2 linked regions of the Neurospora crassa OR74A genome follow. The protein of the gene in region 2 purifies or fractionates together with the protein of the main gene of each other region. This does not show direct contact. Links are inferred from orthologs where the notes say so. Each region holds a gene or a part of one and is shown on either strand. Other genes may lie near its edges.

Region 1 (4,799 bases), on a different chromosome or scaffold from region 2:
AGAACATCATGGGCCCCTGCTGGCTCAAGATCGAGGATGCAGACTTCACTTCCTTGAGGAATGCTTCGCACTGCAAGCTGGAGGTCCTGGTAGAACATCCCAACATGGTGTCGGTCCCGGATAACGCCGAGAGTATTGAGCCTCCTCCTTTGACGTTGTTAAGCCTGGCTATGCGCACAGCGTTCAACCCTAAGGATAATAAGCAGGAGATTCTCGCGGTTAGCGGGAGAGTCTACCTTGATGTGTCGCTCAGTGACACCACTCCCCCAGACAAGCTTGCTTCTCGTAGTTTCACCGCTGTTAGACCTTACGGTAGCGCATTTCCTATCGGCTTCGAGACGCTTGCCAAGGAAAGAAACAGAGGTGTGCTCAAGCTCTTCAAGCAGGAACACGAGATCTTGAATTTCTTGCTCGCACAGATCGATGTTGTCGATCCAGACGTTATCCTTGGCCACCAGCTAGAAGGTGTTGACTACAGCATCTTGCTGAACCGGCTGCACGAGAAAAAGACACATCAATGGTCTCGTTTGGGCAGACTCAGGCGCTCTCAGTGGCCCTCGTCCATTGTTAAGATGGGTGGCAATGTATTTGCCGAACGTCAGATAATGTCTGGCCGTCTGCTATGCGATCTTGCTAACGATGCCGGTAAATCAGTAATGACCAAGTGCCAGACCTGGTCCTTGACCGAGATGTGCAGTCTGTATCTGGGAGGCGAAAGTCGTAGGAGGGATATCGACAACGAAGTCGCCCTGAAGACGTGGGCTAACGCTGACAAACATGGTTTGATGGACTACATCTCCCACGCCGAGACTGACACTTACTTCATCGCGGCTCTTGCACTCAGGACTCAAATTCTTCCTCTTACCAAGGTTCTCACCAACCTGGCTGGTAACTCGTGGGCAAGAACACTTACCGGTACGCGTGCTGAGCGGAACGAGTACATTTTGCTTCACGAATTCCACCGCAACAAATATGTCGTCCCGGACAAGCAGACCTTCAAGGGTCGGCAACGCATCGAGGAGGAAAACGCAGAAGAGGAAGGCGGAGAAGGAGGAAAGAAGAAGGACAAATACAAGGGTGGTTTGGTTTTCGAGCCAGAAAAGGGTCTTTATGACAAGTTCGTTCTCGTCATGGACTTCAACTCCCTTTACCCTTCCATCATCCAAGAGTACAACATTTGCTTTACCACAGTTGATCGAACATCACTGGTAAGTCAGGGTCCTTCCTCCGTTGACGTCACAAGCTAATGCAAAGTAGTCCGAGGACGATGATGCTGTTCCCGAGGTTCCCAAGGAGCAGGCGCAGGGCATTCTTCCCAAGCTGATTGCCACACTCGTTAGCCGACGTAGGCAGGTCAAGTCTCTGATGAAAGACAAGAATGCCACACCTGAAGAGCTCGCCACCTGGGATATCAAGCAGCTCGCCTTGAAGTTGACTGCCAACTCCATGTACGGCTGTCTTGGTTATACCAAGTCGCGCTTCTACGCCCGTCCTCTTGCCGTGCTCACCACCTATAAGGGTCGTGAGATTCTGCGGAGCACCAAAGAATTGGCGGAGAGCAACTCGCTCCAGGTCATCTACGGTGACACGGATTCCGTCATGATCAACGCGAACAAGGACAACGTTGCTGAAGCCCTGCGTGTCGGCCACGAGTTCAAGAAGGCCGTCAACGAGCGGTACCGCCTCCTTGAGATTGATATCGACAACGTCTTCCGGCGCATCCTCCTCCAAGCCAAGAAGAAGTATGCTGCCATCAACATGGTCGAGGTCAACGGCAAGTGGGTTGAGAAAATGGAGGTCAAAGGTCTCGATATGAAGCGTCGTGAATACTGCGGGCTATCCAAGGAGATCTCCAACCGTATCCTCACCGAGATCCTCTCGGGAGACGATACTGAGGTGTCTGTCCAACGCATCCACGAGTACCTTCGTGACATATCTGCCAAGATGCGCGAGGGTGCCGTCCCTGTGCAAAAGTACATCATCTCGACTCAGCTTGGTAAGGCGCCCAAGGATTATCCCAATGCCGACTCGATGCCGCAGGTCCAAGTCGCCCTTCGCGAGTTGGCCAAGGGCAAGACCATCCGTAAGGGCGACGTCATCTCGTACATCATCACAGGCGACAGCAAGACCACCTCAGAAGCCGTCGCCAAGCGTGCCTACACCCCTCAAGACGTGCTCAAGGCCGAATCTGGCCTGTCTCCGGACGTAGAATGGTACATCGGCAAGCAAATATTCCCTCCAGTCGAGCGTCTCTGCGCCAACATTGTCGGCACGTCGACCTCCCAACTCGCAGAAAACCTCGGTCTCGACGTCCGCCGCTACTCTTCCAACACCAACAACAACTCCTCAGGCCCACAAGACCTCGAAATCCACCCTCTCGAGTCCCAAATCCCCGACTCCCTACGCTTCCAGTCCTGTGCGCGCCTCTCCCTCCGCTGTCGCAAGTGCAAAACCTCGCACCCCTTCGAGGGCCTCGCTTCCCCATCATCCGTCAACAACGTCACGCCCTCCGGCATCCAATGCCCCTCATGCCAATACGTCCTCCCCATGCTCAGCGTCGTCGCCCAAGTTGAAGCCGCCGTCCGCGCCCAAACAGCACGCTACTACGAAGGCTGGCTCGTCTGCGACGACTCCTCCTGCGGCAACCGCACGCGCCAGATCTCCGTTTATGGCACCCGCTGTCTCGGATCCAAGGGTCTGGCGCGCGGCGAGTGTGGCGGCCGGATGCGGTATGAGTACACGGAACGGGACATCTACAACCAGCTGGTGTACTTTGCTAGTCTGTGGGACGTGGATAAGGCGAAGAGTAAGGCCAAGGAGAACAATGATGAAGATGTGGATGCTGCTAAGCTAAGTGCAGAGGAGAAGGAGAGGGTCGCCATCATGGCGGAACATAATCGTGTTAGGTTTGGTACGGTCAAGGGCGTGGTGGAAAAGTATTTGGATAAATGTGGACGGAGATGGGTGGCGATGGATACGCTTTTTGCCAAGTTGGGGTTTGTTCCCCAGTAAGTGGGCATGGACAGGAAAGCTGGATGGATGGGTATGTGTGAAAACGGGTACTAAAGTTGAGCGGATGGTTTCCCTCCAGTGTTCACATTGTCGACATCGGCGTTAAGGATTGGGCTTGTTTCCGAACTACGGGCTTCTTTTCTTGAATGATTATAACTTTTTTTTCGATGCCCTACGTTTGCAACTATTGTCAACCCGTCAACCCCTTTATATATCGTCATGTAACCAGTCTAGGATGGTGTTGGCCCGATCTACAATTTTCTTTGGTATATCTCACTCCCACTCCCAGGGCAGGGATACATCCCCGACCCTCTCGCCTCAACCCTAATCCCCACCCACATCCACAACTACCACATTACAGCCTTATAGTCCATACACCCAAACCAAACATACAATAATAGGCAAGATGGCCGAGCGGTCTAAGGCGCCACGTTAAGGTCAACCCTTAATCCGAGTGAAAATCTCAGTTCCGTGGTCCGAAAGGGCGTGGGTTCGAATCCCACTCTTGTCAGCACATCATGTATACCCCCACCAAGCTCAGGTGGATTTCACTTTTTCAGTATTCTTTTTTTCGCCTTTTTTTCTTATCCTGCCTTTTCCTCTCGGTTCTCGTTTGGGGGTCAATATGATAGAGACATAATATGAATCTAGGCCAGGCTAAGATAAACAAGATGCAAGAAAGATCTCCATATGCTTAATAGCCTTGTAAGACTCCCTTGATATAAACGCCTCCGACGGGACTGCTAAATAAAAGTACAGAGTTGATAGCCGACCATTCTCGATGGATGTGTGTTGAATCATTCCCGCTGCATGAGTAAAGATAAATTGAAATGACTTCCAAGAGACTCATTCCGTTGTTGCCCTTGATGTGATGTGATGTATCAATGACGAAATCACCTAACACCACCCCATCTCCCCCTGGAAGCAGCCGACTTATTCAGCGCCAACCTCCTCCCAATGTTTCCAAAGCACACGCAACTGCAAAACAGCACACTGAGCATCCAAATACCCGTCTCAATGACGGCCGCGTTTTCGCTGCTCGCCCCTCCCATACCGCTCATCCTCGCCGCTGCTGCGCTCCGAGGCAACCCGGATGTAGTCCCATTAAGCACGTCCATCGCAGGTTGCCCGCTCGTCGTCAGAAAATGATGGTCGTGATACCCAGCTCCAGCCACGGGTGCAGGCATCATATCGGGGTTACCCAACCCCATCAGGATGGCGGATCCCGTAACGCCCACGGCGGCACTGAGAAGGAACCCGGGTTTGGAGCGGTCGATCAGGTACCACAGGAACGGATTCGCAAGCGCCAGGGTGATGGATACTTGCATGGTCGAGGCCCAAGGTAGACGGCGGATGGCGAAGACGATGCCGACAAAGGCGCCGATGCTGCGGACGACGAGGGGCCAGTCCGCTTCGGGCGGGCTGGTGACGCCTCCGCTGTTGGAATCCGTCTCAACGGGGAGGGTGGTGGTGACTGGTGTCTTCCTTGGAAAAGTCCTTGATGACGATGGAGGAGCTTGTTGCAACAGAGCGGCGGCGGCCTCTGCAGCAGCAGCAGCTCGTCGCCTCTCCTTCTCTTTCTTGGTCATCCTAGTCCTCTTTCCAAAGGCTTCCTCCCATACTTGATCGAACCAGGGAAGTAGCCTGCCCAACACTACGCCGGCCGCTCCCCAGAAGGTGAGGTACCGCCAGCCGTAGCCGCCCGTGACGCTATCTCCGTTGGGCAAGCGAGTCACGAGCACGCCGTAGCCTGCGCCGAGAGCGAAGAGGAGAGTTGTCCGGAGTAA
Region 2 (5,872 bases):
TCAAGGCCCCCTCCTAGACCGACACAAGCTTCCTGTGCGCGGACCCGAACTTGATATATTTCACTGAAATTCCAAAATCGCACCTGTATACCTAGTGCTGAAGATGCCATCCCATGTGTTACGGATGCATTGCAACATCCACGACACTGGCCACTACCCTCACCAAAGCGAAATCGGCCATGAAACCAATGATCACTGAACGGATAGACATGGTCTTGTGGGGTCCAGTGGCTGTTGGAAAATCGACTCCGTCCCCAATTTCGAACACTGCCGTTCTTCACAGCCCTCGTCCTCGTGGGTTGTGCCTTGCATTAACGGTAGTCAGGCAGCGACCTTCCCCTTCGAGGTACCTCAGTTGTGCGACGAGGCCGCTCGCTTGGTGGTGTGACCGCCAGTGCCGATACCACGGCTATGTGCCTAGGCTGTCATTCGTCGGAGGCGTTGTTGAAGCCATCTAAGCTTGCACCCTTGTGTAACAAGGCTACTCGATATCATAGGACACTAGGTGCCGGATCGTGGTTTGTCTTACTTCAGCCTCCTCGTCTAACTTTGCACGATACCAGCATATGCAATTGAAACATTGGGCTCTGTTTTCAAGGCTTGCGGATGCTTTTGCACTCTCAAGATCTTTCGTTCCTTTTCGCAAGGCTCGCGATACCGTCTTGTTCTGTCCTGGTGCATTATCCAGATGCGAACCCGGGCCCCCCAAAAAAAAAAAAAAAAAAAAAAAAAAAAAAAAAAAAAAAAAAAAAAAAAAAAAATTTCTCTGGAACTAGGCATTGTTGCTGGAGTGACCAAGATCTATTTCTTGGCTATTACGAACTTCAAGATCGGGTCGAGAACACTGTTGCGTTTGACTTGGAAATATTTGCTGACTACATAGCAGGAGACATCACGACACATCTATCACCTCGAAAGAGCGAAACCATTGATTCTCGACCATTCTTTGAAGGGTACAGCGGGTGAAAGTCATCCCGTGCGTAGCTCCGGATGGTGACTTGCTCATGCAGACAAGATAAACCGCCGCTTACCGCTCCTTCTCACAATGACTGTTCGGCATGAGACGGGAACCTCAAGCCAGACCTGTTCCGGGCTCAACAGAGGATCAGACGGCTACAAAGGCCGGGAAGCAACCGGAGCCACCCGACAATTCGATTGGAGGACCCGCTGGGCTTGTGTCAGTCCTTCTCACGGCGCCTCACCAAAGTATGAGGCCCATTCCCGTTTACGGCTGCAGTCACAGCACACTACTGTAACGAACCGCGTCATCCCGAAAGACGATCCAGTCTACCGGGAACCGATTACCGTGTCTACATGATGGAGCTGTACGACATGGACCACAACAGCACAGCTCGTTGACGATAAGGGTGGTTTTCGTCCCGCCTTCGAAGAAATCGTACGACCAGAACCGCAGGAGAGAGTTGATGCTGTATGAGGCTAATGGCAAACGGCATAAAGTTGATGACCATATGTAACTTGCCATAGCCATGTCTGCAAGCGGGCAATGACGGCTCAAGTGAACAGTCGGGAAGTCGAAACAACAAACACAACACATTTCACGGTAGGATCCCGATGGGATCCCGATGGTGATGGGCTCTAGTCGGGTACGAAAACCACGGGAAAATCAAGGAACCAAAGGATGTATTCAGCCGTTGCAGTTGTTGAGCGGAACCTCAAACCTGACTGCCGTGAGAAGAACGGATGTGGGGCAGTAATCGCCGGCTAGGAGCAACGTCTATCGGACCGTTGAAAGTTGATGTAGCATGTGAACGACGCAGCAGGGGAGACAATGATCATGGGGAGCTCAGGATGGCACACTCTGGCTCGCGCTTGGAGCCGTCGAGAATCATCACCCGACTGGGGTCGGTTTTGCTCGAGTACTTGGGCGCTTAGGCTCATAAGTAACATTGGTACCAGTGAAGCTGCGAAAGCCCTGCGTTGGCTTATGGGTTAGAGACTCCAAAGAGTGGATCGAGTAACTTTTAGACACTCGTGGCTTCTTTCCATTTTACACTTTGGTAACAATCACTTTGTTTCACCCATGTCGTCCACTTAACAGGACCCAACAGATGTTGTCCTATGGTCATACTTCAACTGCTAACACGAAGCATAGCACAACTACGAAGTATGAACTTGTAATTTAAAGGCTGGGAGGCACACATGTATGTGAGGTACACACGCTAGTGACCAACAACACTACTGAGGTTTCGGCCGCCTTGAGGTTGTTGTTCTTTCTCTTCTCGTTTTCGGGGCAACACAACGTGGGCTTGCTCGCTGAGGATCAAAGGCCATGCGGAGTACCGAGGTCTTGAAGACACTGTCGAGCCAGACATGGACGCTGGTCAAGTTGAAAAGGCCGAGAGGTACAAGTTAGAAGAGATCAAGCATGTGCAAATTGACCTGGAATGTATGTACAATCTTCGTGGAAGTTTTGTTATCGATAGTAAATGTAACCTGGAAACTACACTGAGTGGAAGTCTGGAGGGCCGAGGTCTGGTGTAGGTGGTTAGATACTGGAAATTACACGCTTCTTGATGGCAATTATGGGTAATGACGGTATCAGGTACAGCCCCGCTTGTATCAATTAAGCCCCCTGCCTGAAGCAAGGGGTTTAGCGCGACTCGCGTGTCGTCGACGCGTTTTCCACTTAAAATCGTATCGTTTCGTTTTGTCACTTTTCCATGGCGGCTCCGCAAGGTGAAGCGCATGCGCCAAAACAAAACATCGGCGACTCTTTCATTCTTCTCCAGCAATCTTTTTGGACGACAAGAACGGAGGCCACAACGACTAGCCTTACTCCGCGTCCGAACCCGTGTTACCTTTGTTTCCCGTCTGTGACACTGGCTTGAAGAGTTGTTCTTTGGATTAATACCTTCAAGATGGATTACAACGCCCTCCGCGACGAGGCCGTACGCGACCGTGTGCGCCAGGCCCAGGAGTTCCTCGATCCTCGTACGTCGAAGCTTGAAGCTGATGCTGGCCCTTTGTTCACGACCGAAGCATGGAACGAAACTAATGGCGAACCTTATCTACAGATGACCAGCACCAGCGAAGCTACAGACCAGACATTGTGTTGATGCTCCAGAAGAACCAGAGGAGACTCGTCGTCAATATCGATCATGTCCGCGATCACAGCTCTGAGGTAGCCGAGGGTCTACTTACCGATCCCTTCAACTGGACCCTCGCCTTCAACCATGCGCTCAAGACTATCGTCAGCACCGTCCCCCAGGCCCGCCCCGATCAAATAGACCCCGACGTCTTATACTATTGTGCCTGGGCTGGCAGCTTTGGTCTACACACCTGCAACCCCAGGACACTGTCCTCCCAACACCTCAACAATATGGTCTCGATCGAGGGCATCGTAACAAGGACGTCCCTGATCCGCCCCAAGGTTGTCAAGAGTGTACACTACAGCGAAGCCAAGAAGACATTCCACTACCGCGAGTACCGCGACCAGACCATGACGAACGGCATTGTCACCAACAGCGTCTACCCGCGCGAAGACGAGGAGGGCAACCCGCTCGAGACCGAATACGGCTTTTCGACCTACCGCGATCACCAGACCATTTCCATCCAGGAAATGCCGGAGAGGGCACCTGCTGGTCAGCTGCCCCGAGGCGTCGATGTGATTCTCGACGATGACCTGGTAGACCGCGTCAAGCCTGGCGACCGTATCCAGCTCGTCGGTATTTTCCGGACGTTGGGTAACAGAAACACAAACCACAATAGCGCCCTGTTCAAGACGGTCATTCTGGCCAACAACATCGTCCTGCTGTCCTCCAAGTCGGGTGGTGGTGTGGCTACAGCTACCATTACCGACACCGATATTCGCAATATCAACAAGATTTCCAAGAAGCCAAAAGTTTTCGAGTTGCTTTCACAGTCACTGGCTCCCAGTATCTACGGACATGACTACATCAAGAAGGCTATCCTGCTTATGCTGCTGGGCGGCATGGAGAAGAACCTGGAGAACGGTACACATTTGAGAGGTGACATCAACATCCTGATGGTCGGTGATCCTTCCACCGCCAAGTCGCAGCTCCTTCGTTTCGTCCTCAACACTGCTCCATTGGCTATTGCCACGACTGGTCGTGGTTCTTCCGGTGTTGGTTTGACTGCTGCTGTCACATCCGATAAGGAGACTGGCGAGCGTCGTCTGGAGGCTGGTGCCATGGTTATGGCTGACCGTGGCGTCGTCTGTATTGATGAGTTCGACAAGATGTCAGACATCGATCGTGTTGCCATCCACGAAGTCATGGAACAGCAAACTGTTACCATTGCCAAGGCCGGTATTCACACCTCCCTTAACGCCCGTTGCAGTGTTATCGCCGCGGCCAACCCTATCTTTGGACAGTACGACACCCACAAGGATCCTCACAAGAACATCGCCTTGCCCGACTCCCTCCTGTCGCGTTTCGATCTTCTCTTCGTAGTCACCGACGACATCGAGGACACCCGTGACCGACAGGTATCCGAGCACGTCCTTCGCATGCACCGCTACCGCCAACCCGGCACCGAGGAGGGTGCTCCTGTGCGCGAGAACGCCGGTCAGGCCCTCAACGTCGCCCTCAACGGGCAATCCGAGTCCCAAAAGCCCACCGAGATGTGGGAGAAGTACGACGCCATGCTGCATGCCGGAATCAAGGTGCCCAGCGGCCGCGGGTCTGCCAACAAGAAGCCCGAGATCCTCAGTATCCCCTTCATGAAGAAGTATATTCAATACGCCAAAACGCGCATCAAGCCGGTACTGACGCAGGAGGCTTCCGACCGCATTGCTGACATCTACGTGGGCCTGCGCAACGACGACATGGAGGGCAACCAGCGCAAGACGTCGCCCATGACGGTCCGTACGCTCGAGACGCTCATCCGTCTGGCCACCGCCCACGCCAAGGCACGCCTGTCCAACCGCGTCGAGGAGCGTGACGCCGCCGCTGCCGAGTCCATCCTCCGCTTTGCCCTTTTCAAGGAGGTGGTCCAGGACGAGTCGCGCAAGAAGCGCAGAAAGACCCGACCCGCCGAGGGCGAGGATGGCATGTCCTCCGACTCTGACGACTCTGATGACGATGACGACGACGTGGCAACTCAAACCACCACAGCCCGCTCCAGCGCTGCCAGAGCTTCTCGCGCTTCCCGCGCTTCCCAACGCGCCAGCCGACGCACTCCCGCCAATGGCGCTTCCTCCTCCTCCGCAGCAAACGCCAACGGCACTCCCAGAGAGGAAGAAGAAACCCAAGGAGCAGAAGAAGAGGAAGAAGACATCTACGACGCCACCCCGCGCCGCTCAACAAGATCTGCTCGCACAACCGGCGACTCACAACCATCCTTCGCCTCTTCCCTTCCCGCCTCGCAACTTCGCTCCACTCGCTCCCAACGATCATCTCGTCGCACCGCTCAGAACCAAGACGACGAAGAAGAACTCGCCTCCGGAGCCGCCAACCTCAACGTCGACGAAGACGAAGACGAAGAAATGGACGTTGACGGCGAAGCCGCCCCAGAAAACCAAGAAGAGGAAGAGGAGGAAGAAGAGGAAGAAGAAGATGAGGAGCCAGCACCAATAAGCGAGCACCGTCTTGACGTTTTCCGTCGGGCGCTCGGTCCGTTGTTGAACTCGGGACTTTTCGAGGACGACGCTGCGGATGTGGATGAGCTGATCAAGGCTGTTAATGAGAAGATTCCCGGAGGCAGGAGAGGCGGTGAACAAAAGTTTGAGAAGGAGGAGGCGCTGCAGGCGTTGAGGGAGATGACGGAACGGAATCAGTTGATGTGAGTTACCCTTCGCTTGATATTGTGAGGTGTGATGATGTCGAGGAATGATGCTAACGCTGTTTGATGATAGGTATACCGATGGTCAGCTAGTGTACAAAATCTAGTC

Evidence for each region. Proteins that work in one complex are often made in the same cells at the same time.
Region 1: the proteins of NCU08009 (region 2) and NCU07870 purify together in Saccharomyces cerevisiae (affinity purification with western blotting; 3 studies listed by BioGRID). This does not show direct contact. The link is inferred for Neurospora crassa OR74A from reciprocal best matches to the Saccharomyces cerevisiae genes MCM3 and POL1.

Annotation. Positions count from the first base shown.
Region 1 is NC_026503.1:1,178,680-1,183,478, reverse strand, and holds the end of NCU07870 (DNA polymerase alpha catalytic subunit), read left to right. Parts: coding exon 1-1,208; intron 1,209-1,257; coding exon 1,258-3,012; 3' UTR 3,013-3,413; downstream 3,414-4,799. Other genes in the region: NCU07869 (INSIG domain-containing protein), read right to left, coding at 3,906-4,799. UniProt on the Saccharomyces cerevisiae protein: Catalytic component of DNA polymerase alpha, which in complex with DNA primase (DNA polymerase alpha:primase) constitutes a replicative polymerase. POL1 has a role in promoting telomere replication during interaction with CDC13.
Region 2 is NC_026504.1:3,901,482-3,907,353, reverse strand, and holds the start of NCU08009 (DNA replication licensing factor mcm3), read left to right. Parts: upstream 1-2,649; 5' UTR 2,650-2,879; coding exon 2,880-2,952; intron 2,953-3,035; coding exon 3,036-5,763; intron 5,764-5,836; coding exon 5,837-5,870; 3' UTR 5,871-5,872. Other genes in the region: NCU16827 (hypothetical protein), read right to left, coding at 1,238-1,555. UniProt on the Saccharomyces cerevisiae protein: Acts as a component of the MCM2-7 complex (MCM complex) which is the putative replicative helicase essential for 'once per cell cycle' DNA replication initiation and elongation in eukaryotic cells.